3 linked regions of the Rattus norvegicus genome follow. The protein of the gene in region 3 interacts with the protein of the main gene of each other region in a pairwise test. Links are inferred from orthologs where the notes say so. Each region holds a gene or a part of one and is shown on either strand. Other genes may lie near its edges.

Evidence for each region.
Region 1: the proteins of Troap (region 3) and Dyrk1b interact in binary tests that used the Homo sapiens proteins (3 or more experiments, as listed by UniProt). The link is inferred for Rattus norvegicus from reciprocal best matches to the Homo sapiens genes TROAP and DYRK1B.
Region 2: the proteins of Troap (region 3) and Trim23 interact in binary tests that used the Homo sapiens proteins (3 or more experiments, as listed by UniProt). The two-hybrid records come from large-scale screens. The link is inferred for Rattus norvegicus from reciprocal best matches to the Homo sapiens genes TROAP and TRIM23.

The regions. Positions count from the first base shown.
Region 1 is NC_086019.1:92,602,645-92,613,386, reverse strand, and holds the start of Dyrk1b (dual specificity tyrosine-phosphorylation-regulated kinase 1B), read right to left. Parts: upstream 5,934-10,742; 5' UTR 5,797-5,933; coding exon 5,718-5,796; intron 4,633-5,717; coding exon 4,469-4,632; intron 3,788-4,468; coding exon 3,668-3,787; intron 3,572-3,667; coding exon 3,383-3,571; intron 3,089-3,382; coding exon 2,941-3,088; intron 1,712-2,940; coding exon 1,425-1,711; intron 866-1,424; coding exon 719-865; intron 638-718; coding exon 497-637; intron 223-496; coding exon 1-222. Other genes in the region: Fbl (rRNA 2'-O-methyltransferase fibrillarin), read right to left, coding at 6,982-7,006, 7,108-7,253, 7,827-7,939, 8,889-9,021, 10,276-10,446.
Region 2 is NC_086020.1:37,033,308-37,043,985, forward strand, and holds the start of Trim23 (E3 ubiquitin-protein ligase TRIM23), read left to right. Parts: upstream 1-2,897; 5' UTR 2,898-2,974; coding exon 2,975-3,055; intron 3,056-5,430; coding exon 5,431-5,511; intron 5,512-6,405; coding exon 6,406-6,568; intron 6,569-10,678. Other genes in the region: Trappc13 (trafficking protein particle complex subunit 13), read right to left, coding at 2,210-2,255.
Region 3 is NC_086025.1:132,113,924-132,123,221, reverse strand, and holds the end of Troap (tastin), read right to left. Parts: coding exon 9,242-9,298; intron 9,135-9,241; coding exon 8,948-9,134; intron 7,803-8,947; coding exon 7,642-7,802; intron 7,558-7,641; coding exon 7,420-7,557; intron 7,337-7,419; exon of another isoform or gene 7,243-7,336; coding exon 7,160-7,242; intron 6,824-7,159; coding exon 6,747-6,823; intron 6,457-6,746; exon of another isoform or gene 6,444-6,456; coding exon of another isoform or gene 6,392-6,443; intron 6,308-6,391; coding exon 6,192-6,307; intron 4,274-6,191; coding exon 4,190-4,273; intron 4,036-4,189; coding exon 3,976-4,035; exon of another isoform or gene 3,896-3,975; intron 3,509-3,895; coding exon 3,374-3,508; intron 3,231-3,373; coding exon 2,642-3,230; intron 2,438-2,641; coding exon 2,244-2,437; intron 2,110-2,243; coding exon 2,062-2,109; 3' UTR 1,926-2,061; downstream 1-1,925. Other genes in the region: C1ql4 (complement C1q-like protein 4 precursor), read left to right, coding at 433-612. UniProt on the Homo sapiens protein: Could be involved with bystin and trophinin in a cell adhesion molecule complex that mediates an initial attachment of the blastocyst to uterine epithelial cells at the time of the embryo implantation.

The sequences.
Region 1 (10,742 bases), on a different chromosome or scaffold from region 3:
GGTGGCCTCGTCGGCCGTGCGGCGGAAGAAGCCATGCTGCAGAGCGCCCAGAGGGCTGATGCGGGCGGCGGGCTCATACTCCAGCATGCGCAGCACCAGGTCCTGGAAGCGGAGGTAGTCGGCGGGGCTGTGGCCCGGCTCCCCCGCCCGCCGGCCCCCGGGCCCGCCCGTCTGCACGCCCAGCACCTCCTGCAGCCGCCGTGTCCCAGGGCCCTGGTAATCCTGGCAGGGAGGGGGTGGGAGGGGGGGCAAGAGAGTGGCCGTCAGTGGGCAGGAGGGGCAGGGAGACACACACGGGGAAACAGAGGCACAAGAGAGAGGGAGAGAGAAGCTAACAAGAGCTGTGGGGTGGGACGGTGATGGGGTTGGCAGGGGAGGAAGGAAAGGACAGACAAGGGGGAGAGGAAGACAGGGAAAGACACAGGGAGAGGGGAGCCCCAAGTGTGAGTGAGGGGACACCCAGGGAGGGAGAAGTGGCACAGGGCAGGGGCCGCACCTTCCTGAGTTCCTTTGTCCTTCGTAGGGTCCAGCCACCCCCAGGCAGCCGCTCAAAGTACTTGCGAGCTTTGGGTGCCTGTTCCAGCATAGGTGCGGGAGGGATGCCCAACACCTCCACAATCCGGCTCATCTGGTCCACCTGCAGGCAGGCGGCGGTCAGGGGCGCCAGGTGGCCAGGCTCCACCCCTCCACCTCCAGTACACCCCTTCCAGGGGCGCACCTCATTAGAGCCACTGAAGAGGGGTTCTCCGGTGTGCATCTCCACAAGGATGCAGCCCAGGGACCACATGTCGATGGCCAGGTCATAGGGTGTACCCAGGAGCACCTCTGGTGAGCGGTAGAAGCGGCTCTGGATATACTGGTAGATCTGGGGGAGGGGACAGTAGTCAGGGTACCAGCTCCCCTGCTGGTTCCACTGGAAGATTCAACTGTAGACAAGCCCCTGCCTGAAAACAGGATGGACCCTCTAGGTTGTGAGGTTCTCTGCAGCCAGTCACTGTCTTGCTCATTAACCTCTAGTCTTCAATGACCTTCCTGCTTTAACCCTGTCTGCACTCCCAGCTCTGGTCCTTCTGGTTTAAGAGGCTGGCTATTCCATACTGTACTACATTAGTATATCCCCTAGGGCTTGGTCTGCTCACATGGGGTTGAAAAACTTCATGGTCCTCAACCTGTGAGCAGTCAGCAAAGCAGCCTGAGGCTCAGGTCACAACTCCACTCCTCTGAGGAGTGCCTGGCCCTCAGCTTCACCCTTTCTCTTCCTTGCTTGGGTCATCTTTGCCCCTTCACTTCCCACCACCTCTCTCCAGGGGGCTTCCCATTGCCCAATATCATCTCTTGGTCATCAGCTTCTAGGGCCAAAATGAAACCGTCCTCCCACCGCATCCCACGGAAGACATTGGCGCTGCCCACAGTCAGAACCGCACCCGCTGGCCAAGCTGGCAGGAGCTGCCGAAGTCCACAATCTTGATGGCGCTGCGCTTAGGATTGCAGAGCAGGATGTTCTCAGGCTTGAGGTCGCAGTGGATGATGCTGAGCTCAGGCGTGGCCAGAAAGAGCAGGGCTGTGCAGAGCTGCTGTGCCAGCTTCCTCGTCAGGTTCAGTGAGACACCGCGAAAGTGTGTGTTGCGGAGGAGGTCGTACAGGTTGTAGGACAGCAGCTCAAACACCAGGCACAGGTGATTCCGGAACATGAAGTGCCGCTTCAGGTGTACTGCGGTCGATGGGGCAACAGGTTAGATGCACTGGCGGCAGGGAAGCTGGGACCAATGGTAACCACCTCAGGCAAACTGCAGTGAGCCCTAAGGTGTTTGTCTCTACACCGACTCACTGGACTTCCAAGGCATGTTAATTCTCGAGCCTCTCATACCTTCCAGTTTTTACCAAAAGGAAGGGCTCTGCCAGTAGGAAGTAGTTAGTGAGCATGACTGTCATCCCAGCGGTTGGAAAGATAAAATGGGCGAATGAGGAGCTCAAGGCCAGCTTGGCTTACACAGTGAAGTCCAGAATAAAACAAAACAAAACCCCAAAAGATGGTGTAACCTATAGGTTATGGGATGACCAAAGGGCAGTAGCATGTTTGACTAGCAAGCACAAGGACCAGGGTTCAAGCCCCGGCACTGCAAAGGGAAATTAAAGCTTTAAAACAGCTCCATGCGGGGTTGGGGATTTAGCTCAGTGGTAGAGCGCTTGCCTAGCAAGCGCAAGGCCCTGGGTTTGGTCCCCAGCTCCGAAAAAACAAAAAACAAACAAACAAACAAACAAAAAAAAAACAGCTCCATGCTTCCTCATTTCATTTTACAATGCTGAACCAGCAGGCCTGGGATACACTGATGCACAAAGACTGTTAGCTCGAGGTACATCTGGATATATTTAGTGAGACCCTAGCTCAAAATAATGAAGTAAAAAAAGGTCTGGAGATGTTCTGGGGTCGGGGATGTTTGAAGGGAGGACCTGTTTGCCTAGCATTTATGAAGCACGGGGTTTGATCCCCAGAATAGCAAAACAAAACCTCCAAAAATATCACCATCACCCAAAACCCCAAACTATCAAAAGAACCTGCTTTTGTCTTTGCTGTCTGTGTGGCAAGGGATACTGGCTGTCCTTTTATTAAAGAATCCCTTTCCAGAGGAACTGAAGACTGGGACATATCACAAGAGCCATAGCTCTAGATGTCACTGCTTCTCACATTATCAACTGTTGAGCCTGAACTGTCACCTCATGCATGTGACAGCACTGAGTGCCTCCGTTTTTCCAACACGTCCACAAAGCTGCCCTGTCCCTCACCAGGCTTGGGGGAGGTAGTTCATGGCAAGTGTTTGCCAGAGTCTGGCCCTCAGTGAGCAGAAAGGAGAAATCATGACCACAGCAGAGGTTGAGGAGCCCTCAGCCCTCAGTGGAGGCCTCTCTATGCCAGGCGCCCTGCACCCACCCAGGCCTTACCTATGTAGTACTTCATCTCTGTATCATGCTGATTCATCAGCTCCAGCAGCCTCAGCTCAATCTGTGCCTGGTTCAGGAAGGCCTTTTTGTTCTTGATGATCTTGATGGCCACCAGCTCCTGAGTCTGGTGATCATAGGCTTTCACCACCTGTCCAGACAAGGAGAGTTACCTGGGTAAGCGAGAGGCCCACCAGCCATACCTTTCTAACAACTCACAGCCCAGTGCTCACATCCCTTGTAATGGATAAAAAGTAACAACAGTTCTCTTTCAAAGAGTCTTGTGATTTATACTCATCCAGAACTAAGACAGGGAAACTAAGTGGCTTGAGTGGCGGGCCCAGGGCAGGACTTTTAGCAAGTGAACACTCTGGGAGGAGGAAGCGGGGTAACCAAGTGGTTGTCTGCATCACCCAGGCACTGGGCGAGCGGGGGAACCTCGCACCTGGCCAAAAGAGCCTTTGCCAATAAGAGAGTCAATTTCATAGCGCTCTAGCCAGCGCTCGCCGCTGCGCACAATGTAGTCGTGGTTGTCATCGTCATAGCCGTGATTCAGGACCTTCTTCTCCTTTTTGGTGCTCGAGTCCTGGGGTGGCGCCTGTTGGGCCCGCCGCTTCTTCTTCGCATAGTATACCTGCTCAGGCAGCCAGGAAACTGGACCCTTAGTGATCCAGGCAAGAAGCCAGGACCCCTTTCAACACCCAACCACAGAAGTCCATTCCCCACTCACCTCATTGATGTGCTTGTAGGTCTTGATGAGGTCCACTGAGAGCTTGCGCAGCGGGGCCGAGGTCGCATCCCGGAAGGCCAGGGGCAGTCTCCGTGGCAGTAGCCGCACATCAGGCAATACCTGTGGCAGAGGGAGGCAGACACTGAGCACAAGCCTTCACCTCCAACTTCTAGGAGAGAAGGGTAAAGCTGACACCTCATTTGACCATGCCTACATTTCCCTAGCTCTGATCGCATCCTGTATAGGAGCACAAGCACACACTGTGGGTTCCACTCATCCGTTCATTATATGAAGTGAGTGGTTTACCTCTGACCTTCCATTCAGCCCTAGGTCTTTTGCTCCGTATCTGGGTTCTGTCCCCTGAGTCTTTGCACCTGAGACCACTGTTTCTGGGAACAATGCTATTGAATTTCCTGTCCTTACTCTCAAGTAAGTATCTCTGCCCAATTAAAAAGCTCTTGGATTGGGATTAGTCTCCCTGGGTCTCCCACTGCTCTCAGCTCATTTTCCTTCTGGCCCCCTCTAGATTTCTTTCAGGCTTCTCTCTCGTGAACACTCAGACCTGTGTTTCTTTCTGTCTGCTCTGTGCCAGTGACAGTTCTGACCCCAAGACACACATTATGGAGAAGCTCAAGAATTCAGTCCTCAGCAGGAAAGAGGGTGGATTCTTCAAAGTCCAACTACCTGAAACTCTTTTAGTATTGTGAGGCCTCCAAACTCCCCAGAGATCCTCCAACAACCATGCTGTTGTCTGGAGGCCGTTCACTCTTCAGGCAGGTGAGAAGCCTGCTCAATGCCTACCTGTGTGTGTTCCTGGGGCCCCGGAAAGCCAGAGAAGGGACCATGGCCTGGTGGGACGGCCATGGTGGGCTCAGAGGGCCGCAGGGGTGTGAGGCCTGGAGCGGGAGCCCGGCCGGGGGGCGCCTTCTCGCATCCTGCACCTCGGCTGCCACCGCCGCTGAGACCTGAGAGCAGGTAGAAAGTGGGAGGACAACATGAAACAAGAAGGTGTGGAGGTCAGGGTCAGTTAGAGAAGAAGTGGGCATGAACTAGAGGGCAGGACCAGGGGGAGACAGGGAACAGGACAGAGCACAAGCACCAGGTAGCCATGTAGAAACAGAAACGGGTAGCAAGTGGGTTAAAACAGCCATGTCTCTCAACAAATGAGCCAAATGAATGAATGAGGCATCACATTGAGAAAAATGTAAAAGGGAATCATCAAACCAGACAGGGGTGGGAAAGGGCTGGTACAAGGCCAGGGCAGGAAGGAGAGAAAGAGGCCAGGAATTAGGAAAGCAAAAGAGAAGGCAGAAACCGAGTAGTCTGGGTAGTAGAATTCAGGCTTTCTTTGAAATTCTGCCGGTGGCCAGCCTGAGTCCCTCAGAAAAGGCACCGCCCTCACATGGTCTTCCCTCAACAGTGAGGGCCCAATTTCAAGCCTAGCCTACCCACTAGTTCTCTCTAAAGAACATAGCAGTCCTTGTGGACCTCCTAGCAAAACCAAGGTTATTTGAGAACTCCTTTACATGCGAGCTATAGATGTCTCAACCAACATGGCATACTTTCCCCTGGGACCAACTCCATACTCCACCAAGACCGCTCCCTGCTCCCTATATGAGGTCTCCCGCACCAGGGACTCTTCTTCTAAGTAGTCTATATTTATCCCACTAGTATTTTCTTATTACTTCAAGACCCCAACTCCTTAGGAAAACAAGGGGGAGGTGTAATTTCTCAACATCTAAGAGTCACTGTCTTTTTCTTCCTTATCCTGGGATCCTTGCTATCTCCTCCATTTCTAAGCGGGGTCATTCCACAATTGAGCCTATTCCTAGAAGGGCCCGACAAGCCAAATCCCTAAATATCACACAAGACTTCACTCCCTCTAAGTGTCCTTCGGAACAAAATCCCCTCCCTAGGAGCTTCCCCCTTGTCAGATTCCCTTCTATCCTGTCCTGTTACTCCAGGTCCCCTTTATTGGAGCTTCACAGATAAACAACCTCTCCCCAAGCCCTCCCACACTAGGACCAGCTCTTCCAGCACCCACCCCTACCCGGGTCAGGGCTGGCGCTGGGCCCACGGGGGGCTGGAGCGCGATGGGGGCCCCAGTGCGGTGGGCGAGCGGCCAGCATGGCGGCAGCGGCGGTGGCGGCGGCGGCGATGAGGAGGTGGCCGCCTGTCCCCGGCCCGGCTAGCCTAGCCAGCCCCGCGGCAGTGAGGGCAAGCGGGACAGGCGGCCCGGTGGGTGACAACAGCAGCCGCCGCCACTGCCACCGAGGGGGAGGGGCGGGAAAAGGAGGGGACGAGGGTCAGACCAGGGCACGCGGGGGAAGGGGACAGCAGGTGGACGGGGGAGGGGCGGGTTAACCCTCGCCCTACGGCCCAGCCCCGCCCCGCGTGGCCACCCGCCCCCAGGGACCCTGGCGTCCCGCCCCCCACCCGGCAGGCCCGCCCCGGCCGGTGGAGTCCCGGCGGGCGGGGCACAAGTGAACCCGGCAGGCCGCACCTCCCATGGCAACAACCGCGCTATTGGTTGTTGCTGCCAAGAGCTTAACCAATTAGCAGTCAGGGCAGCTGTTGCTAGGCGACAGCGAAGCGGCCAGCGCAGCCGAGCCCAAACAAAGGGCGGGAGTGGGGCCGGGCTGCCCCCCTCCCAGGCTCCCCCTCAAGACAGCTCCCTCGGGCTTAGCCCCTTCCAGGAATTCGGCTGTGAAGTGCCGGGCTGCGCTGCACTGGCCTGAAGCCCCCTCCTTTCCCTTGCTAAATCTCGCGGGGACCGGCAGGGCGGGTCCGGGCCTGCCCCCCACTCAAGCGTGCCATCCCGCCCGTCGCAGTACCGTTACCTGAGGGCGTGGGTAAGGGGATTCAAACTGCTCGGGAAGCCCGAGCTCAGACCTGCCCACTGGCTGAGGGTGTCTGGTGGACGCGGCGAGCCAGGGCCCCGATTACCCAGTAATGCAACCAGCAAAATGGCGACCACAACAAACCGGCCCCCCTGTCCCGGCTCCGCCCCCACACCCCTCACGTGACCTAGTGGAGCACTGTGCGCCTGCGCCTTAAGGGTGCTGAGCCGCGCACGTGCGTAGCAGCCACCAATGGAACGTGCACCATGTGACCGGATGAAACTTTCCAGGCACCCCCCACCACCACCACACAAAGTTGATCAAGGACGCATGCGTCTTGAGGCCACTGAGCAATCAGCACCAGACAGGGAAGACAGATTAGTCTTTTAATAGAAAAATCCCCTGCAAAAAGTCAAAAGCCACATGTGCAACAGTAGCAACAACACACATTTCTTCAATCCAGACAGTCGAGTTTCAGTTCTTCGCCTTGGGAGGTGGCCTGTGAGGAAATCAGAGTGGGTCGAGTTGTAACCAATTTTAGCTTCTCAGGCCCTGGAAGCTCTGGCCCAAAGTAAGGGAGAGGTCTATTCTGGTACTTACCTGTACACACCTACAACCACAGCGTGGTCTCGTTCATAAGGCTCTAGTGTCAACTGCTCCTGAGGCTTCATGTTCTCTTGCTGCATCTTTTTCACTTCAGATGCAAACACAGCTTCTGCTGAGGCTGTGGAGTCAATGCAGTTGGCCTAGAGAGGAGAAAAGACTTTAAGCTAAAAGCATGTCTTTGTTACAGATTTGGAGATGCAGACTTAGCCAATTTCCTACATTAAAGACATTTTAGGGTTGGGGATTTAGCTCAGTGGTAGAGTGCTTGCCTAGCAAGCGCAAGGCCCTGGGTTCGGTCCCCAGCTCCGGAAAAAAAAAAAAAAGACATTTTAATTTAGCTCAGACTGGAAACAGGTTGTTTCCCTTATCTAAGGCAGTGGTTAAAGTCAGGAACACTCTTCCATATTCCGGTAACAGCTGAAGGCCAGCTGGCAGCAATAGAACAAATGTAGCAATAGGCTCTGAAGATGGTGAGGATGCCTGAGAGTTTTCTATATTTTAAACAAATGTTTTGAGAACCATACCTGCTGCAGTTAGTATTATTCTACCCCATAGTCTGTTCCAAATGCCTAACACTTATAGATCTTCAACCACAGAGAAGACTAATAGACCAAGTCAAACAGGCTTCAGCTAAGTAACTTGCTCAGCCAGGACAGATCAAGCATCCACAACGTTCGCTGTTGCTACTCAACCTGACACTGCAAGATCCATACCTTAATGGAAATCACAAAGTGTCCTCCATTCCGCAGGAAGGTGTGGGCATTCAGGGCCACAATTCGGGTTTGGTCTGGCTGGGCCACATCGGCAAAGATGACATCCACCATTGCTAAGGAAAAATGGGACAGCGGTTAAAAACAGAAGTCTGCAGAAACTTTTCCAGAGCCTCCCAACAGGGCCTTGTGCTGTTTCACCACCAGGTTCCTGGGACTCCTCTGCCTCCAGTCTTACTCCCAGCCACTCCCTCCAAAGCACCCCAAAGGTGGAACCAGAACCTAAGTCACTTCACTCATCCGCTCCTCTTATAAGCCAACAGTTGCCACCTACTCTGTGGCCAGCCCTGGGCTGGGTGTGGGGGACACACAGAGAGATCCGGACCCTGCCTTCGAGATCCTCCCAGGTCTGGGGGGGTGGGATGGGAGGGGAGGGGAAGGGAGAGATGGTTCATCAGAAAGACAAGTAAATGTGAGTTGAGCAGTTAAAGACAAGATGTGGGAAGGGCTGTCAAATGACAAGGACCAGAGGACGGGCTGGGTGCACTGAGAAAATGCACAGGTTAAAAAACAAAACAAAAACAAAAAACCAAACCAAAACAAAAAAACCCAAACCAAACCCCATAAAAACCAAAGAAGCACAATGGAAAGGTAATGGTTTAAGGTAGCGTGACTCAAAACAAAAAATGTGATGGAGTAAAAACATCCTTTAAGTGTTTGGAAAAGCAGGCAACAAGTATCGGGTATCTCTAGGGGAACTCACAAGGCCCTCCACTTTTATACTAGACTTTCGAGGTGTTTTTAAAAAAGCCATTGAGTTATACTTGCTGTGACCAGGACTGGAATCTCATCAAATAATGGCTTTAAAACACAAGCCAGGGCAGTGTAAAAAAAAGGCCTCGAGTGTTAGAGCGTAGCAGAACTGACCCTGACACAATCTTCACACTGTTGCAGTGAAGAGGCTGCTCTAACTCTAACTCCACCTAATTCAGGCTCCATAGGCATCCCCTGAGAAACATGCAGTGGCTTATCCTACCCTCTGTGGACCACCCCCAGGGCCCTCACCAATAAGCATGCGGTATTTGTGTGGGTGCCGAGCATCTTCAATTACAGGAATAATGTTGGTCCTCTTCTTGGCCAAGTTGATGAGGTCACGGCCAGAGCGGTGGGAGAACTCAACTGCGTAGACCAGACCATCCTAAAATTGACCCAGCATCGATGAGCACACACTGGTACTCCAGTAGTCGTCAACACTGACTGGGCTTGAGTGCCACTTGTAGCAGGTTCTCAGACCCTCAATCAAAACCCCTGCTTTGAAATTACTGCCACTATGAGAAGTCATGAGCCATGTTATTCCCAAGCAACCAAGTTTTAAGATCCTAATAATCTGACCCGTGAGGACAGGCTCCCAACACAGGGTAAAAATCTAGGCATCCAGGATAGATAGAGATGAAGGAACAGAGCTCATAGCATTTGTAACGGAGCAGCACTTACAGGAAATATGAAGCCACACACTGCCAATGCCTATCCAAGTCTGAGTGTTGTTGCTGTTTGGTTTTAGAAGAGGCTAGGGTTACAAGGCTAGTGCTTTCACTAATTAAACACTTTATAATTCAGTCAAGCAGCGAGAAGCTGTCAAGTGAGACTCCCAAGTACTAGGTGCTCTCTGCACTGGGATCCTGTACTGCCAGAGAACATACGTCCATTAGCAGAAACCAAAGCTGGGATGTAACTCAGTGTCAGCATACCTGCCTAGCATTTCAAGAAGCCCTAGGTCCAACACCCAATAGTTGAGTGGGTCTGGGGTTGGGTCAGGGGGACATGAATGCCTTGCTTCTGTGTGTGGAAGCCAGAGGATGATGTTAGGTACCACTCCTTCAGGAACTCTAACCATCCTTTTTTTTTCCTTTTTCTTTTTTTTGAAACCCTGTTTTTCCTTTTTCTGTGTAATCCTGGCTGTTCTGGAACTCACTGTGTAGATCAGGCTGGCATTGAACTCAAGAGATCTATTGCCTCTGCCTCTCCAGTGCTGAGACTAAAGGCTAGACCCATCATGTTTTTGAGACAAGGTCTCTCACCGGTGCTGACGGCTCGGCAGGCCAGAGACCACTGGCCTGTTGCTGCATTCTCATGCTGTTCCTATGAGGGTATACTGCCACACTGGTTTTGTTTTTCAAAATGGATTCTGGGTATCAAAATCAGGTACTCATGACAGTGTGGCAAGCACTTTAATGATTGAATCTCCCCTTTTAGCCCTTGGACATAACTTTTTCAACCAAAATAGTCTGGTATCTATATTCCCAGCTCTGGGTTACTTTAATTGACTACACTCTCTGGTTCACAATTACAAGCAGGAGTGGTACTGAAAGAACTCTGCTTCAAGCTGTCCCTCTCACAGAATGAGGGATGAGCCTGGCTTAGGTTCCTCCATCCCCATAACCTGCCCACTCACCGGGCCAACAATGTCAGACACGTGGGAGACGGTGGTGCCTGAGGCTGCCCCAAGGTAGAGCACCTTGGCCCCCGGCTTGATGTGGATCTGGTCTACGCCACCCAGGATTGCTGCGGCCAGCTTGGAGCGGAAGGGGTTCCAGGCTCGGTACTCAATTTTGTCATCTCCTTCCTGAGCCAGGAGAGATGGGGACAGAATCAGTGTTGGATTCTTGTGCAGGGCATCATTCCCTGTAACCCTAGGGCCCTCAAAAGAAAGTGCATTCTAATCACTATGTAAGAACAAAATGCAGATGTACAGCAGGGACCAGGAGAGAAGCCATTCTGCCCTCCCATGGAGACTCGGGGAGGGAATAACATACAGTAAACACGGAAGTGAAAGACAGAACTAAGCACTAGGCACTATGTCCTGTCCTAGCACCAGTTTCAGGTGCTGGACAACAGTGAGTAGAACACATATTCTGCCCT
Region 2 (10,678 bases), on a different chromosome or scaffold from region 3:
AATGGGGCTATGACAAAGTCTTCTCTATATTAAGGTAGTTTTAAATAGCATGGAGATGCTAGTTCAATGGACACCAATGTAGAGGAAGAACACAACACACAAGTACTCATGATGTCCCAAATTAAAGCAGTGACCAGAAGTTCCAGCACATAAAGTCTCAAGAATGGAGACAGCCAGGATCTGATCTACAAGTTGTGGTTCCTAATCAGGCCAAAGCTGAGTATAACAGAGGCTCTTCTATATCCTAACACAGGCATATGCACACACACACACACACACACACACACACACATTTAGTCTTTTACTCCCCAAACATGAGAGAACTAATCCATGTTCTTTCTCTGCTACAATAATGATGACCCAGTTTTGTCACGATGTCACAACAGAACCACAGTCTGATTCTGAAGAATTAAGAGGTAACTAACTATATAATAAATCCTTTTTATACCCTTAAAAATAACCATAGTTTCCCTAAGATTTTTTTAAGTTCTAGTATAGATTTAATATGTGATGACATATTCCTTAAATATTTAATAATGATCATCACTTCTTGACCTTTCCTGGCTTACGATCAAGGAAGAAGAATTAATGAATTTATTTGTTTTTTCCCTTTACACCTTTTTTCAGTGTAAGGCAGGACACTGAGAACCCTTCTACTGTCGTCTGAACACACTCAGTGATATACTCAAGAGGCGAGTGAAATTTTGAGAGCTCTTTTTTAGGTAAAATGTGTTTTCATTTCAAGAAAAAACAAAAGGGAGAGAGTATATGACTCAGTCAGTAGAGTGCTTGCCTAGCATGCACAAAGCGCTGGGTTCAAATCCCAGGATCCCATAAACTGGGTATAGTGGTGGACATTTGTGATCTGAGCATCTGGAAGGTGGAGGCAAGAGGACCAGGAACTCTAAGTCCTTTTCAGTTACACTGTGAGTTTGAGGTCAATTCACTAGGCATCTTGTGTTTTTAAAGATGAAGAATAATAACAAAACTCCCTACCACTGGAATTTTTGGTAGCTTCTAAGTTGTGTGAAATCGCACTTAGCAACTCATGTAATTGTTTTAAGTTCATATAGAAATCATAACGATCTCTGGAAAAGCCGTTTCATTTGCTAGGAGGAAACAATATCTTAGAAAGATGAGGCAGGCCTTGTTGAATTATTGCCTTCACCTCTTACTAGATATTTATCTTGGAAAAGGTGTCACAATAAGTAATATCTAGCCCACACACTAGATGTAAGATGGAGATAATAAAAATACAGTAAGTTCCTTTCAAACACACATCATCAACTTCAGTCCCGATCACGTGGTCTCGCTGTTGTATTGCTCAATGTGGCGACCTTTCTTAGCTCCACATTCAGAGACAGTCATACTAACTGCTGCTATGGAAGCGTGACTGCATGTTAGGAATGGAACTGGTGAGCTTCTGGATGTGTATGTAGCCCACAGAGAATGGGGGAGGAATATGCGGTATATCCAAAGGGATGCCTTAAAGAGGGCCAGTGCAATCCAATCTAGTTCAAATGTCTTGTAAGCATTTCTTCCTATCAGTGTAAGGCACTGTTAACTTTATACCTGCACATCCCAAAGGCAAGAAAGTGCATTGTGGCAGTAGCAAACTAAAATAGGTTGAAATTGTTTTTTAATAAAAGGTTATCGATAAGCAGATTCAAGAAAAATCTGACCTCCTAGCTCCCCCCCCCCGGTCAAATTAAATCATTAAAACTTATTCCAAACTGATGCGTATAGAAAATTAAAGTTGATAAGACATTCTGGACAAGGTTCCCACAAACGTGATACTACAGTGTGAATTAATTTGCAGTATATTTCAACAAATCTAAGAAGTATTAGGTGTAGTTCCATTTATTTCAAATCCTTGGCATTACCGTGCTACACCATCTACAGGTAAGCTAAAACCTGGTAACTTTATCCCTGCGACCTAGACGGATAAAGGAGTGATTTTTGGAGAAAAAAAAAATTAAATGCCAGCTGAAATTTATGCCGGTTCACAGATATCTCTGCGGCAGGCTCGAGACGTGAGCTGCTGTGGACAAAATGTGGTAGCAAAGGCCTCAGTGCTTAGGTTTGCATTTCATTCCAGGAGCAGCGGGAAGGCGAGTGCCCGGTTTCAGGGACAAGGCCTTCGTTGGGAATCCATCAAAGAAGTGAGGCAAATAACAGAGTAAAGAGACTCAGGTTAGCAACAGTTTACCTTTTAGCGCCAGCAGGTGCTCCTGTTTGGGGGGATTCACTTCCATTTTGACCGGCACTTCTGACCTCAGCCTATACAGGCTGAAGTTTCACTGGGTCTGGAAGGAAAAGTGCCAGGCACAAGTCCCGGAAGATCGGCCTTCAAACGCACGCTCGACTTCTTTCTGCTCCTGAGAACTTAAATTCTCTTTTCATTAAGTCCTTTACGGCTCCAGTGAAATCTTTTTACCAAGGCCATTCCTTCGTTCAGAAATACACATATTTTCCACACAGGCTGACTTCAACGATCCACTTCGGGCTGACAATACGCGGCTTCCCAAAAGCTTACATTGCCCAGGGGGGGTGGGGGAGGGAGCTACTGTCGTGGCATGCTGGGATTTGTAGTACATTTTATACAAATTTAGCAGTGTACGCAGGGCGGTGGGGGAATGTGGTTCATTTACTCATTCTGACTCGTTTCAGTACTAGAGAAAAAATGTTCCAGGAATGGCATTTTCACCATAAAATTTTATTTATGTTCCATACTTTTAATAAAACACATTTTCTCCTCTCCATTACTCACATACGCCTTTATGGAAAAACAGCTCGCACGCGCAGACCGTACAGCCAATGACTGACGGAGAGAAAAGGTCAGAAGAGGCGGGACGACTCCCCGTCTATCCTGCGCATGCGTGAGGGCGGCACGCGCCGAGGCTTCTGGGTAGGTCGCTCAACCCCTCCTCTCAGTTAAAGGCTCTACTGCAGCTGTGCCGCTGCTCCTTCCAGGATGGCTGCCCTCGCTGTAAACAAGCCCGGAGCAGGAGTAGACAGTGGGCGGCAGGGCAGCCGGGGGACGGCTGTGGTGAAGGTGAGGGAACTTGCGTGCTCTGTTCTCCACCTGCGGCCTCCCTTCGGTTCGTCCTGGAGACCTGGCCGCGACTGTGCGGCCCAGGTTTGGCCGGGCTGGATGCGCGGCCTCTGGTGGGCGTTACAAGACTTTCCTGCCCCTCCGCGGTCCTTGCCCAGCGGAGCTGAAGTTGCCTGGTCTTCTAATTCAAGTGTTAACGTCGTCCGTGGGGCTGTTTGTGAAAAGCACCGCGTGGGCCTGTGAAAGTTGACCCGGACTGGGTCTTGCCCCTAGTCTTCTGTTTCTAGTGATGCCTCAAGAGGCATTAATTGACGTAGTTGTATTAAACACTCATTGCAATAGACAAGTACTATGGTAGATGTTTGAGTTCGCTAATAACTACTTAAAAGGTAGATGTTAATTCGCATTTTACGTGGGAGGAACCCTAGGTTTAAGTTAATACAGTGTGTGCTAAGGGCCCAGAGTTTACTGGTTGTCAACGTCTGCCTTCCAACATTGCACAGCTGTCCCTTGCTTCTGAATAGTAGAGTATGAAAACTTATGAAGTCCCCGACTACAGCACAATTGGGCTTTAACATTAGATGTATGGAGTACTGTCTCCTTAGAAGATTCTACCGAATATTTACAAGCTACATTTACTAAAAGTTAACTAGAAGTATGTGATGATCATTTCCCCCACCCACTGTAACGTAGATCTAAAAGGGGCATGTGGTTTAGGGAGTAACTTGGAAGATTATCTGTAGCCAAGAGATTAAACAACTCTTTCTGAGTGTGTTGATGTCAGGACATTTATTAAATCCCCTGAAGAAATTTTAAAGTACACTTGGATTTATTACAGTGAACCAAGTTTGATTGGACATTCTTTAATAGTAGATATCTGTCTGTCTGTCTGTCTGTCTCTCTCTCTCTCTAGCAAAGGTCTGTTTTTGAGAAATTTATGCCTAAAATTTATCAGTCGTTTTTTATTGGTGTGTTTGTTTTGAATCAGTTAACTTTTTATACTAATGAAATGTAGAGGAGCCCCCATTAAGCATATTTTGTGTTAGAGTTAATATTTTGCTTTTGCCAAATGGGAATACCTGCAGAATATTTTGTCATTCTTTCCCATAATTGGAATAGCATGTTATAATTCTCCTTAATACTTTTTCACTTTATCATATATTCTGCATGTATACATAAAAGATGTAATGGCTGTAGTTTTGGCATATGAATGTACCATAATGTATCTTTCAATTTAGTATTTATATGGATCGTTGCTTGTTTTTAATTATTTAATGATACAGATAGTACTTTAAGGAGTTACATTGATTTTGTCATATGTAGACTGGGGATGTGATTCAGTAGTAGACCATTTACCTGATATAGTCAGGGTCCTGAGATTTCCCAGCAGCAGAAACAGCAACAGCAACAAGGACGAAAACATTTTGATTTTGTCGTGCATGTATGATGTAGTTCCTTAAGAACTGCTAAATTGTGTCCATGGGTGCTATATTACTCAGTAAATTTTTTGTGTCAGGCAGTGGAATTTTTTTCCTGTACTGTAATTAGTGCCAAGCATTAACAGCTTTTTGAAAAACTATCTTCATGTCGTTATTCTCTGTAGAATGAGTTAGATTGAACTCTTAATACAAAGTTTTTTTATACATTTAGCAGATATTTAATTTGTCTCTTTTTCCTTCGAATTATACCACACTTAAGTTTCTTTTGAACTATTACCAGTACGTGAGGTAATTACAAATTACCAGTTTAATTACTGTGAAAGATGTTTGTATCTCAATTTCTAAGTCTAAATGTATTAGAAGATCAAGTTTAAAATTGCAATGGGTCTAATGAGATTTCCACTCTTTAAGTTTTCTATTTTTTTTTTTTATTTTGTGTTGCATGTTTGGTGGCCTGAATTGTGTTTCAGTGTTATTTTGTTGGGTTTTATTTGCATCAGCATGTAGGTGCTTTTGTATCTGGAGTGTACTGTTCTGCACTCTCGTTCTAATAGGGAAAGACAGGTTAGTCTATTAAAGTATTGAAGTATTTGGGTCAGACAAGCAGATAGATATTCAGGGTGCATGGAAAACCAGAGGATAATGTAATAATTGAAATTGGAGTGAGAGATTGGGAGACTAAGAGAGATGGGATTTTTAGGTATATGAATATAAAAACTTTAAAAAAGGAAACCAGTAGGTAAATGTTTAGATGTTTCCTCAGTGTTAATTAGAATAAAGAAGGGATCGAGAAACCACCAACCACAGAAGCAAGTGGTCCTGTGCTGGGATACACATGTAGTAGAGGGGACTGAGAGGTGTGGCAGTGAAGCAAGAGAATGGTAGTCAGTTGTAAAAGCACTGGAAATGCTATATTGTTATAATTACGTTTTGCAGACTATACATGAAATATTAGCCCATGGACCTGAGTGTCAGAGTGAGCCAGTTCTCGCAGCTTTTCTTCCTCACTATCTTTCAGTAAGTCATATACCTGTGATTACTTGTGTAAGAACAGGAATTGAAATTTAATTCTCAGCTAATTTTGTTTTTGCCTTTACATCATTTTGTGAAATCTAGAAGATACTTGAAATTCCTTGGAAACTGTCTTACAAGTTTTTTTATTGTTTAGAAAAGTGATTATCATCCCAATCCACATTTTAGATTGTTTTATTGAAATCAGTGGTAGTTTGGCTGGACACAGTGGCATCTCCTATAGTAACTTCTGGGAGGCAGAGGCAGGAACATTACTATAAGTTTGAGGCCAGCTTGGACTGAGGTCCATTCAGGGGTAGTCAGTGAAACGTCATTTTACAAGGGAATAAAACAGGGCCTAGAGAGATAATAAGCTATTGACAGCACTGAATGCTCTTTTGAAGAACTCGGGTTTGATTCCTAGTACTCCATGGTAACTAAGAACCATCTGTAACTCTAGTTCCAGGAAGTCTGATGCCCTTTCTTGACCTCTGTGGGCACTGCATTAGCATGATGCACCCACCACACATGCAGGCAAGACACCCATGCACAAAATAAAAATAAATCTCTAAACACTTTTTAAAAAGGAAATGAGTGCAAAATGAAATGATTGTTGATTGGGGGTTTCAGTAGAATTATAGATTGTTACATATTTAGTTTTCAGATTATATTATGTTAATTATGTTAATTTGCAATATAAGTATTTCAAGGAGGTTTTACTTTGTCAAGGTCTGTCAAATGGAAATGAGTAAAAATGTGATTTAACATTTTATAGCTTAGTTTTTTTTCCCCATGGAGGAATAAAGTAACAACTACTATGTCAGTTGTTTTTAAATCTAAGATATTTGAATGTTGTTTCAATAGTATTTATAGGGCACATGTTTTTGTTTTACATACTAGGTTCTGGAGTGTGGTGTTTGTGAAGATGTCTTCTCTCTGCAAGGAGATAAAGTTCCTCGCCTTCTCCTTTGTGGCCACACAGTCTGTCATGACTGTCTCACACGCTTGCCTCTGCATGGAAGAGCAATACGTTGCCCATTTGATCGACAAGTGACAGACCTAGGTAGGTAAATTATTTAAATGAGGTTAAAGTGAAAAGTTATTCATGTAACACAAATGTCATAGAACACAGTTCCTTTACACTTGACTTTTTATGTTAAAGTTTGAAGAGCTTTCAAAATTTGAATTTCTATTCAGGTCAGTGAGATCCTAAATGTAAGCTAGCCCTTTTCTTAGTTACTGGTGGAAATCTGAAGTTTCTATATTCTATACTTACTACAAGAAGCTTTAAGAAGTATCAGAAATATATGTTACCCTTATGCAAAGAAATGAGAATACTTTATTCATCACCGGTTAAGTCTTAATGCTCTGAATAAAAAAACCTGTTTTTTTTTTTTTAAAAGATAGTCAAAATATAAAGTCATTTGACTCGTTCTTTCTTTCTTTCTTTTCTTTTCTTTCTTCCTTCCATCCTTCCTTCCTTCCCCCACCCCTCCCTCCCTCTTTCTCTTCCTTTCTTTCTTTCTTTCTTTCTTTCTTTCTCTCTTTCTTTCTTTCCTTTTCTTTTCCTTCCTTCCTTCCTTTCTTTCTTTCTTTCCTTTCTTTCTCTCTCTCTCTCTTTCTTTTCCTTCCTTCCTTTCTTTCTTTCTTTCTTTCTTTCTTTCTTTCTTTCTTTCTTTCTTTCTTTCTTTCTTTCTTTCTTTCTTTCGAGATAAGGATTCTCTGTGTATCCCTGACTGTCCTGAAACATGGTTTGTGGACCAGACTGGCCTCAGCTCAGATCTGACTTCTTTTAGCTCCCAGTTCTGAATTAAAGGTGTGCACCACCATGGCCTGCTAGGTTCTTGCATGCTTTTTTTTTTTTTTTAAGATTTATTTATTTATGTTATGTGAGTACACTGTCACTGTCTTCAGACACACCAGAAGAGAGAATTGGATCCATTACAGATGGTTGTGAGCCACCCTGTGGTTGCTGGGAATTGAACTCAGGACCTCTAGAAGAGCAGTTGGTGCTCTTAACCACTGAGCCATCCCTCCAGCCCCCTTGCGTGCTTTTACAACTACTTCAGAATCAGTGTTGACATATTTTAAAATTTAAAAGTGTGTGTGTGTGTGTGTGTGTGTGTGTGTGTGTGTGTGTGTGTTTACCCAAATCAAGTTGTCAGATTTTGGCAGAAGGTGCTATGTCACTGGCCCAGATTTAGAAAGTACAACATTAACATTTGAACAATTATTTCACAGTTTAATGTAAGTTCTTAATTAATTTTGTAAGATAAAAGAATTTTCCCCAAAATAGTTTTTAAAAAAAACATTTTTTAAAGATTTATTTGTTTCATTTATGGGAGTACACTTTAGCTGTCTTCAGACACCAGAAGAGGACATCAGCTGCCCATTACAGATGGTTGTGAGCCACCATGTGGTTGTGAGAATTGAACTCCAGACCTCTGGAAGAGCAGTTAGTGCTCTTAACCACTGCACCATCTCTCCAACCCCCCCAAATTAATTTTTAAGACTGACCCCCCACCCCCTCAGGTCTTTACCAGTACTTAACACTAGGGCTGGTGAAAGGACTGAATGACTCCTGCAAGTTTTCCCCTGAACTCCATACTTGTTCTGTGGCACCTTTATATATATGTGTGCACACACATCCACACACAGAAAATAGTATAAATGTTATAAAAGACTAATACCATATGTTAAAATCTGAATAATTTATCTACGTATAAAAGGAACCAAGAGTGTCCCTTTCTTAGGCTTTAAAGTACTTAGAAATATGGCTTTGACATGTGTTCTTAAGATTGTGGCTATCTTTATTTGCTAGAAAGCTAATGCAAAACACTAATGACGTCACACAGACAGCATTAACCTACTACCATCCATGAAGTAATAGTGGTGGAAGAGATGTCTCTGTTTTAAGGTTCATCCCTTGACTTTTTTATTCTGTAATTAAAATAACATTACCATTTCTTCACATACAACTAGACATGTAGAAATGATAAAGTTTTGCAGATGTAGGCTAGACCCTTTGGGAGAGCCCTCTACCTTCTCTGTACTACCACGGTATGGGAGTTTATGATAGGACAGTTAGTCGTGTGTCAGGTGGAAACCAAGAGTGCTGCCTTTCCACCATCAGAGCAGCCAGCTCTGGCATGCGTAAAGATGGCAGTGCCTGTAACTTAGGGCACGTTTAACTGAGTTGTTTGCGGACTATCTCCGTGACTTTCAGTTATTATACAGTATATACATATATACACACAGTATGTATACCACAAAAATACCAAGGAGAAAATACCAAGGTAGGTTATTTGCAATTCCTGCTTGTAGAAGGAAGCTGCTCTTACTGTTACCAGTTCCTAATCTGAGCTTTCTTCTGATCCAGTCAGCTGCTACTTCTCATGAGCAGTATTTCTGGCTTTACTCTCTTTGTCCCTATGGTAAATTGTATTTCCCTGCCCTCTAACAATTATGTGTGACTATGATGTTTAAATTTAACTATTGAAAAAGAAACAGAAATCAAGTGTCAACTCTCAACTTCCAGGTAAAGGTTTTTAAGATTGACGATGATCTGAGGGAAACCATCCTTTTTGCAACAGTGAGGTGGTCTACATGAGTGAATGCTCAGTGTTCTACAGCATGCATCGTGGACAACAGAGCTTTCTTGTCTTCCCCAAACCCTAAGGATTTGCAGGAACAACACAAGTCTGAGGTTTTTTAAAACCATACAGCTGGGTTGGGGATTTAGCTCAGCGGTAGAGTGCTTGCCTAGCAAGCGCAAGGCCCTGGGTTCGGTCCCCAGCTCTGAAAAAAACCAAAAAACCATAAAGCTGTGTGTATGCATGCATTTAATTTTTACACTCCAGATTTTATTCCCCTCCTGGTCTACCCTCCGACTGTTCCACATCCTATACCTCCTCCCCGCACCCTTTGTCTCCACAAGGATTTCCCACCCCACCCACCCCACAAGACCTCTAAACTCCCTGGGGCCTCCAGTCTCTTGAGGGTTAGTTGCATCTTTTCTGACTGAACCCAGACCCGGTAGTCCTCTGCTGTATATGTGTCGGGGGCCTCATCTCAGCTGGCGTATGCTGCCTGCTTGGTGATCCAGCGTCAGAGATCTCAGGGGTTCAGGTTAATTGAGACTGCTGGTTTTCCTACAGGGTTGCCCTCCTCCTCAGCTTCCTCTAGCTTTTCCCTAATTCAACCAGAGGGGTCAGCAGCTTTTGTTCATTGGTTGGGTGCAGATATCTGCATCTGACTCTTTCAGCTGCTTGTTGGGTCATTTGGAGGGCAGTCATGATAGGTCCCTTTTGGTGAGCATTCCATAGCCTCAGTAATAGTGTCAGGTGTTGGGGCCTCCCCTTGAGCTGGATCCCACTTTGGGCCTGAAGCTAGACCTTCTTTTCCTCAGGCTCTTCTCCATTTCCATCCCTGCAGTTCTTTCAGACAGGAACAATTATAGGTAAGAATTTTTGACCGTGGGTTAGCAACCCCATCCCTCACTTGATGCCCTGTCTTTCAGCTAGAGGTGGGCTCAACAAGTCCCCTCTCCCCACTATAGGGCATTTCATATAGGGTCCCCCCACTTTGAGTCCTGAGGTTCTCTCACCTCCCAGGTCTCTGGTATATTCTAGAGGGTCTTCCCAACCTCCCGAGGTCACTTGTTTCCATTCTTTCTGCTGGCCCTCAGGGCTTCAGTCCTTTGCCCCCACCTAATATCAGATCATGTCTCTCCCCTCCCCTCATCCAGTCTCCTTTCTCTCCAAAGTCCCTCCCTCACTCCCCTCTTGTAGTTGCTTTTTTCTCCCTCCCAAGTAGGACTGAGGTGACCTCAGTTGGGCCCTTGAGCTTGTTGACCTTTTTAAGTTCTGTGGACTGTGTCTTTGGTATTCTGTACTTTAATATCCACTTATTAGTGAATACATATCCGTGCATGTCCTTTTGGGTCTGAGTTACCTCACTCAGGAAGTTATTTTCTAGTTCCATCCATTTGCCTGCTAAACTCATGATAGCTTTGTTTTTAATAGCCAAGTAGTATTCCATTGTGTAAATGAACTACATTTTCTCTATCCATTATTCTGCTGTGGGACATCTGGGTTGTTTCCAGCTTCTGGCTATCACAGATAAGGCTGCTATGAACATAATGGAACATGTGCATGCCTCTGTGGCATGGTGG
Region 3 (9,298 bases):
ATTTAATCTTAACCACCTCATGAGGCATATTCCACTACTATTACCCCTTATTGCTCTAGTAGAGGCCCAAAGAAGACATGACGTGTGTGCCCGGGTCATGCCTGAGAAGATCTGAGGTCTCCTAGTTCAGTGGTTATGCTGCAACTCTTTCAATACAGTTCTTCATTTTGTGGTGGTCCCCAATCATAAAATTATTTCATTGCTATAATTTTGCTAGTTGTGATCATAATATAAATATCTGATATGCAGGATATTTGATATACAATTTCCAAACGGGTCAATTGAGAACCACAGGTTGAGAACCGCTCCCCCAGGACCTAAGCCACCCTTGTTCCAGCCACCAACCAACTTAACCCCCTTGGTCAATCAATTCAGCTCTGCACAGGGTGAGAACCAATGGGTCTGGTTTTTTTTTTCCTCCTTCCTCACTAGGTCCGTGCCAGCGCCATTGCTCAGGATGCAGATCAGAACTATGACTATGCCAGCAACAGCGTCATTCTGCACCTAGATGTGGGAGATGAGGTCTTTATCAAGCTGGACGGTGGGAAGGTGCATGGCGGCAACACCAACAAGTACAGCACCTTCTCGGGATTCATCATCTATCCCGACTGAGCCCAGCACCTTCTCTGACTCTCATGTTCGTTCGCCCGCCCCCTCAACCCCTCGCTCTCACCCACACCCACCTCCAGCTAGCCCTACCCAAGCTCCATCCTCAGGGCCTGCGGACTCCCGCTCCCCAGGCCACCTAAACGGGGGCAATCAGATTCTTGGGGCTCAAGGGTTTTAAGTGGTTGGGGGAGTCTAGAGATGGGAAGGCCAGGATGAAGAGAGCCACTTAGGAAGGGGACTGACTACCTTGTGCTCCAATGAAACTGGGCCAGAGAGAGAAATTTGTGCATGGGCCTCCCTTCTGCCTGGAGCTTGGGGGAAGCTTTACTAATGGAGATCAAAGTCTCGTGTGAAAAGGGGGACATCTTGACAGCTAGGGAGAAAAGGGCAGAAACAGAAGGAACCTGTCCAGGTGACAGGAGACTCTGGCACAGTTTAGATGTGGACCTCAGTAGCCACTTTCTTCCCCTTCCCCATCTCCATTTTTCAGGCTCCAACCAAGGCAGCCTCCCTGTGAACTGGAGGAACCAAGGACTTCCTAGCATTAAGAACCCATTTTGTACAGTGCCCATTTCGCCCCTCTCCAGGGTAGGTCCTGGAGCTACAGATGCTGTCACTCCTCCCAATAAAGTGAGGTTGGGGATTGTGTGTGCCTGCCTGCCTTGGTACAGAGTTGGAGGGACAACAGGAGAGTGGCTGGCCCTTTGCCTGACACCCTGAAAGGCTTGTCTATCTCAGCAGGGTGATCTGTCTCTGATCTATGCAGTTAAGCCTGGCCAGGCTTGCCTCTCCAGAAAGGAGAAGGCAAGGGAAGACGGAGTGGAGGGAGGAGTGCTGCCCTCACAGGCAGGGATGAGGAAGATTCTAAGGGTGAGGGTCTGCTCTGCCTGCATAGGAAAAGAATTCTAGCATTTCTTTTCTTCCTTGGTGTTGGTTTATTTGTAGTTTTTCTCCTTTTGAGATGGGTCATGGCTTTTTGCCCAGGGTTGCCTCCAACTCTTGGGTTCAAGTGATTCTCCTGCCTTAGCCTCCAGGCAGCTTAGGGTCACAGGTGCCCAACTGAGAGTTCTAACAGAGGTGTTCTAGATGTGGGAATACCTGGTGGCCCCCCTAGAGTGGGACTGATCTCAGAGAGAACAAGTTCTGTAATTTCCCCCTAATCCACTCAAGAAGCCTGAGAAGGCAGACTGGGCGGCCGCTTTCTGGAGGACAGCTGCTGAAGAGGAAGCCTATGGTCCCAAGTGCTTAATCTCCTCTAAATTGGAGCACACTGCCACCATGTGGGCCACTGGAGAGCAACAGCTCTGGCTGCCCCATTCAAACACAATTTATAGAAACTTTATTATAAAGGATAAAAGGGCGTTGGCTCCCAGTCCAATGGGCAGGTCGACAATAAATAAGGCTAAAGGAAGGGGTGAGTACAGCAGGGCAGAAGCCCAGAAAAGGCCAGAGTCACGACGGAGAGTCCTGTGGGGCCACAGGGCCAACTGGAATGAAACGCTGCAGAAAAAAAAAAAAAAAAAAAAAAAAAGAAGAGGGCTGTCATATTCCATAACTTCTCCATAGAGAGGGCAAGGTCAGCCTGCCACTGTCCCACAGGCTTGCGGCGTGCTGGCTATACACCAAAGGCTCACCAGGGCATCTTGCCATTCAAGCATTGTAGCAACAGGATTGGTGCAGACCCTGGTAGGCCCTGGGGGCAGGGCTCGACTGGTGTAGAAGGCACATTCGTCATCCAGGCGAGCCTCGTGGAAACAGTGGATGGTGGTGAGACAAGCTCTGAGGCGCTGCCTCAGGGCCAGGGTTCGAGGGGCCACACTGCTGGGGCCTGAAGGCCATGGAGAATTCAGAGGGGCCTCTGGAGTTATATTTCTTCCAGGTCCACCCCCCCCCCATCCCCACCCCGCACCTCCCTATGAGCACAGCCACTTAGAAGTACAGGGGAAATAAAGCATGGCATGGGGAGGTGCAAGGCAGGACCCGCTCCCAGACAGGGCCCTTTCCTCATGGTCTTTCTCAGCCAGTTCCTTACCTGAGCGGCCTGTCGGGGATCTCGAAGAGTGCAGTGAGTGGATAGGGAAGCTGGCACACACTGGGCTTTGTGTCGAGGTCAGGCTGGTGGCTGCTGGAGGCCCCTGACTGCAACAGGGCTCTGGGCTAGACTCTGGGTTTCCAGCTTGCAGAGCGCTGGCTGCCGATGCTCCCAGCTGTATCCCAGGGCGAGCCTCAGGGGGCTCAGCCTGTCCCCGACAACTAGGCAGAGGGGGTCCTGCCAGTGCTGGAAGGCAAGGTGCTGGCGGCTCTGGCTCAGCTCTATGTGGCACTGGGGGCTTTAGTTCTGTGGTAGAGCAGGGCTGTGACTCCTTAGTGTCTTCCCCAGGGCAAGCCTGTGGCTCCTCACGCTCTTCCGCAGGGAGGGCCTCTGTCACACCAGAGTGTTCTGGCAGTGCAAGGGGAGTTTCAGACTTGTGTGCTGGAGCACTCAGAGTGCTAGAGTCTTCAGCCACTGGGGGCTGACGTTCGGTCGTATCTAAAGCGGAGCCTCCATTCAGAGCTGCACAATTGCCCGTTGCCAGCCCCTCTACTTCCTGCCGCAAGAGCTGCTGCAAAATATGGATGCGCTGTGGTGGGAGAGAGTATCCCAGCGTGTCACCACTGTGTGTTCAAGGCCCCTGTCACACACCCCCAGCCTTTCTCCCCGCTCCCCCTCCCCAGCCTTCTTGTGGAGGAGAAGCCATCAGAGCTGCGGCCCCTACAGGCCCACCTGCATCTTTAGCTCCTGGTGGCTGGGGGTTCTCGTGGACTGAGGTCCAGAAGTGCTTGCCACAGATGGTTTCCCAGGTCCCTTCTGCAAAGCGATGAGACTCTCCTGGTCAAACAACTTCACAGCAATCTGCTCCTGAAACAGAAGGAAAGGGGGCGGGTGAAGAAGCCACATTGAGGTGGGAAAGAATACTGTCCCCACCCTCCTGGAATGGATCAAAGTTCCCTGGTCGTTCTTCTAAAAACCAGGTATGGTGTGGCAGGCCTACGATAGAGCAGATATTAGCCCTGAGAAGCAAAGGCGGGAGAATCAAAAGTTTGCAGCTCAGGCTGTTGAGATGCGCACGCGCGCGCACACACACACACACACACACACACACACACACACACACACACACACACAGAGAGAGAGGAGAGAGAGAATAATTTTTTTCAAAGTGTGGGACTAGCAGAAGATAGATAGAGATAGACTGACATTCTAAATATTGAATAGGAAGGAGAGGCGAACAGCAAATACACCTACCTCAAATCACAAGGCTGCCAGCCCTCCAGGCCGTGGGGGAGTGCCACAGACCTCAGTACAGGAAGGTTTTTGACACTTACCCAGGGCAGGGCAGGCTCTTCAGGGGAGGAATGAGGAGAGAGGCCACTCAGCCATTGGGCCTGTGTCAGACAGGACAGACCACCCATGAGTGACACCCACTCCTCCGGCCTGTCATACCTTACCCCCATCCCTATCTAGTGCCTGCCTGCCCTCTCCCTTCCTCCCTAGTCCCAGCCCACACTGGTTACGGTTACCTCCTCTGCTTTCTCTTACCTGCTGGACTCTAGGTAGTGACCGGAGGGGTGTGAATTGGGTTTTCCGTCGAGTGGTAAAGCGTTTCATGGATGAATATGTGGTCTGAGGAGAGATGTGGTTGGCTGAGTGAACATGGCTTTCCAGCCAAACACTTCTTATCCTGCCCAGCCCAAGGGCTGTTGACACAAATCACAGCTGAGAGGCCTGGGGAGCAAACGCCTCAGCCTGTCTAAAAAGGTGACTGCTTGGTGAGAAAGGTGGTAGGTACTGTATGGCTGGCTATGGGCTGGGCTGTAGGGACAGGAGAGGGTGCAGAGAGCCATCACTGTCACTGGAGGAAAAAGGTAGGAAGAGTGGCCTCCTGAATTCTCCCTCCTGTGTCTTATTCTTCCTGTTCTCACCACTGCAGCAGCTGCTCCTTAGGGGCCCATGCAACTTAGAGCCTGGCTTGGAACGTCTGAGCCTCCTGCCTCTGCCTCCCACTATGTGCATGCTTGCACGTTTATTTCAAGAGAGAAACCAATTATCTCTTCCTATTCACACTTTCCCCTGGCTTCCTGTTCAGACTACGAGCCGAGAACTTATACTGGTTTGTACATCCTTACCAAGAACTTACACTGCTCTGTCTGTCTGTCCTTACCAAGGACTTACACTGCTCTGTCTGTCTGTCCTTACCAAGGACTTACACTGCTCTGTCTGTCTGTCCTTACCAAGGACTTACACTGCTCTGTCTGTCTGTCCTTACCAAGAACTTACACTGCTCTATCTGTCTGTCCTTACCAAGAACTTACACTGCTCTGTCTGTCTGTCTTTACCAAGAACTTACACTGGTTTGTCTGTCTGTGCTTACCAAGAACTTACACTGGTTTGTCTGTCTGTCCTTACAAGAACACACACTGGTCTGTCCGCCCTTACCTGATCTCACCTGTCATCACTGTCAATTCGTCTTGGACCCTCTTCTCACCTAGGCTTCAATCCCACTTGTGTGTTTTGCTGGCTCTCAAATACTAGATACCTCCTTTCCTCAGGGCTTCTGCATCTGCAGCCCAGGGTTAAATATCCCCCTATCCCCACCCCCACCCCCAGCTGTCTGAGCCTGCCTCACCTCTTGGTCTCATAAGCAAGCCTCATCTTCCCAATGACAGTGCCCTAGCCAAACTACATTTGGTAAAAAGACTGCTTAAGCAACCCCTTCCAAACATTAAAATTTTTTTCCTAATTTACATGTAAGTGTATTGGGTGCCAGAAGAGGGCATTGGATGCCCTAAGTGGGAATTACAGGCGATTGTAAGTTTAGAGCCAGTGGGAGCTAAGTTACCAGCCCTACAAGCATGCACACACGCGCCTTCTATTTTTTTTTTTTTTTTTTTTTTTTGGTTCTTTTTTTCGGAGCTGGGGATCGAACCCAGGCGCCTTCTATTTTTAAACACAAGGTCTTGCTACATAGCCGAGGCTGTCCTGACATTCACCATGGTGCAGCCCAGGTGCTCCTGCCTCCAGATGCTGGTCTGCAGTCGTGTACCACCAAGCATGGCTCTAAACTACCAATATATGATACCAACTACCCTTCCAAATCCTTTCAGTACCTTATGCATTTTGCTTTAGAAAGAACGTGCTGCCATGTGACATCCTATACATTTTACATTTGTGGCTTTTTCTCTTTTGTTTTTTTTCCCCCTACCCTTTCTAGAATATACATATTCTGGAACTAGAACCATGGCTGCATTCAAAAGCCAATCAGCAAATACCTGTGGAATAAAGGAATTAATATGTTGGTTGAAAAGTGTTGGTCGTGTCTTGGCCACGGCACTGATTTGAAGGTGACATATATAACAGTCTGTCACCTCTGACCCCAGGCCCCAGAGACCCAGTAAAGGAAGTCAGATCTACCCTGAAGAGGGCGTGGTCCCAGTTCCATCAAAAGACCAAATACTTCGAGTCCCAGGTCTAATGATTCTACCCACAATCCTCAGTGGGCCACCATTCCACCCCGCCCCATCCCAGAAGGGTCTCCTCTCACCCTGGTGTGTGTTAGGCTTTCTTTTAATGGAACTCGTTGAGCCAGACCCAGTTTGGGTCCTCCTTCTCCACCTGAGTGAGGAACAGCCTCGTGGTCTCCTCTGAGGGTTAAGGAAGCTGGGAGGAGACAGGACGTTCGTTTACCGTAGTGTCTAGAACCAAAGTCTACCCGTTCAGCAACCCCTCAGAGCACAATAATACCTTGGCAAACACTTATCAATCCCAATGCCCTGGCTGGGCTGGAGGTGGCCATGGCTCACAAGGGACTGGGATAGAGAACACAGTAGAAATTGTCTTGCAGGAAGTGGCAGGGAGAGGTCAGAAACAGAGACACATGTACAACCAGGCCAACCTCTGGCCTTCCCAGGAGGTCTTGTCTGCTTTGTGTGTTATGGGTGTGTGTTCTGGGATGTGGATGCTTGGTGAGTACTCACCACTGAGCTAGACTTCCAACATCTCCCTTCCCCCACTCCCCAAGGCCCGTTGATCACGCCCCTGCCTCGTTCCTGGTGCAGGCCTTCACCCTTGCTTTGCTCCTGTACCCACACACACTCACCAGGCTGCACCGGGGTCTTCAGGAGCAGTCTCGAGGCCTGGCTTGCTGAGGTCCTGCTGTCAGTACAGGATCCATCCCTGAGTGTCAAGCAAGGGCTGGGAATTAGCGAAGGGCTCTGCCAGCACCATCTCAGTAGCTTCTCCCAGTACTGGTGCTATCCTCATTTGGCCAATGGATACGGAAGCCAAGCTACAGACAGGTTAAGGTAAGCCTGCACGGCTAGCAGTGGTAAGCGTCGGGAATTAAACTCAAAAGCTATTTACTGTAGCCAATCAAAGAGCCCTTCGTGTACCTCCAAGTTCCTCCACGTCTGAGATAAGGCCCAGCCATCAGAGTCTGAACCCCATTGCCCCACCCAGGGACATGTTTGCCCATCCCCTCTGGGGTCCAAAGGGAATCTACTCTCTCTGTACCTGCTACCGCCACAGGTCTCTCTTCTGAGCTCCTGTAAACTGGGGCGAGCGGAGGAATGAAAGGAGGAACCTGCACGTGGGTTCTGATCCAGGACAAGACAGGAGGACAGAGTCAGAAGCAGACCCCGAGCTTGACACAAACCTCACCCCATCTCTCCCAACAGCCCAGGGCTTCATCTTGAGATGTTGTCCCAAGGCCTACTCTGTTCCAGGAAGAAGCTTCTAGAAGGACTGAGAGTCAGCCCCTCAAGAGTACTCACCAGAGCCTCTGACCTCTGTGAGGAAAAAGTGCGGTCTCGGAGCCCTGGGCCCTCCAGCCTTGAGAAGCAGGAAGCCCTGGCGGGATCCGCTTGGTGGGCGCGGATTCTGGGAGCCAGGTATGCGGAAGACCGTGCACTCTGGACCGCCGACAGAGGCTATCAGCAAGACTCAGAATTTACCCCTTAGCCCACCCTAGCCTGGTCTCATATCCGTCTCATTACCTGGCCCCTCTGGATGTGGGTGCCTCCCTTTCTCTCACGCACTAGCACTCTCTGAGCCAGACTGGACCGGGACTCCAGGGGACAGCTCTTCACTCCCTCACCTGACAGGATGGTGGCCAGGGCTGCAGGGTCAGCAACAAACTCTATAGCCCCTGAGGCCTCTGAAAGGGAAGAGACAGGATTAGAGGAGACAGGAATAGAGGACACTGAGGGCTAGCAACAGTGAGCAAAAGAAACATCAGAGCCAGGATATGTGGTGCACACAGCTACAATCCCAGAATTTAGGACACTGAGGCAAGAGAACCAGGTGTTCAAGGCCAGCCGCCAGCTCATAGAGAGCCCAGAGCCATCTTGAGAGACAGAAAGAGATCATTGGGTTGAACCTAAGCTCACCAATGTTTAAAGAATTTCATGTAAGGCTTTGCTCTGGACAGTGGGGTATAAAATAAAACAAAGGTTTTGCCATACAGAGCATATCACCGGGGGCTGGAGGGAGGCCGTGAGGACTAGGAACACACCGTTACTCTTCTTGCATAGGGCTGACTGGTCTTAAGCTCTCAGCATCTATGTCAGGTGGCTGGCCTGGAACTCCAGCTCTAAGACAATCCAATGCCTGTCCTCTACGAGCATCACATACACCCACACATACACCATTAAAAATAACCTCTTCTTAGGGGCTAGAGGGATGGCTTATTGGTTAAGAGCCATTGTTCTTCTGAGAGACCTGGGTTATATTTCCGGCACCCACAGCCAATTATAGCTCACAGCCGGCTATAACTTTAGCTCCAGGGATTCTGATGTCCTCTTCTGAACTCCATGGGCACTGCATGGACTCACACAGAATAAAAATAAATCTTTAAATATAAAACTATTATTGAAAGGAAGAAGTTAAAGCTGAAGTTTGGGCAGATTATAAAGACTCAGTTTAGCTGAGCGATTGATGGTGACTGTCCTGATTGGGGTTGCTGAAAAGGCCCAGAAGATGTGACTGATGGTTGATTTTTTTTTTTTTTCTTTTGAGACAGGATATCACTGTGTAGGCCTGGAACTCACTATATAGACAAGGCCTCCGATTCACAGAGACCACCTGCCTCTGCCCCCTAAAGTGCTGGGATTAGAGGCATGAGTCACCATGCCAGGCAAAAGGTGGCACTTAGCTGTAATGGCTTCATAGAGCACAGAGCTTCCGGGACAAGGCCCAGGACTCTTACAGTATGCAAGAGACCAGAAGGCATACAAAACCCCCACTTTGTGTCTCTCATCCTTGCTCCGCCAAGTAGGCTGTCCCCCGGCCTCCAACAGGTACCTGTCTGGGGATGGGTGAGCCCCACATTTGATCCCCCAGAGCTAGGCTTGAGTTCCTCCAAAGGGTTCCGCGGCTGAGTGATCCTCAGTCTTTGTGATTTTTCTGTCTGGTGCAGGGCTTTCGATCTGAGGCCTGCCGTGTCAGTGAGGGGACGTTGAGTACGGTGCAGTGGTTTCTTCGCTGATCTCTGAGGGGAGAGGGAAAAAGTTGGGGTTCAGCGCGGAGGTGGGGGTTCAGTGCAGACGGGAGCTGCCTCCTTGTGGTTACTCTTTTCACCCATCATGCCCCTCTTACCCTTGGATCTTGGTTCTCCTGGTCCAGAGAGCCCGACTTGGCTGAGGAAAAATCCGA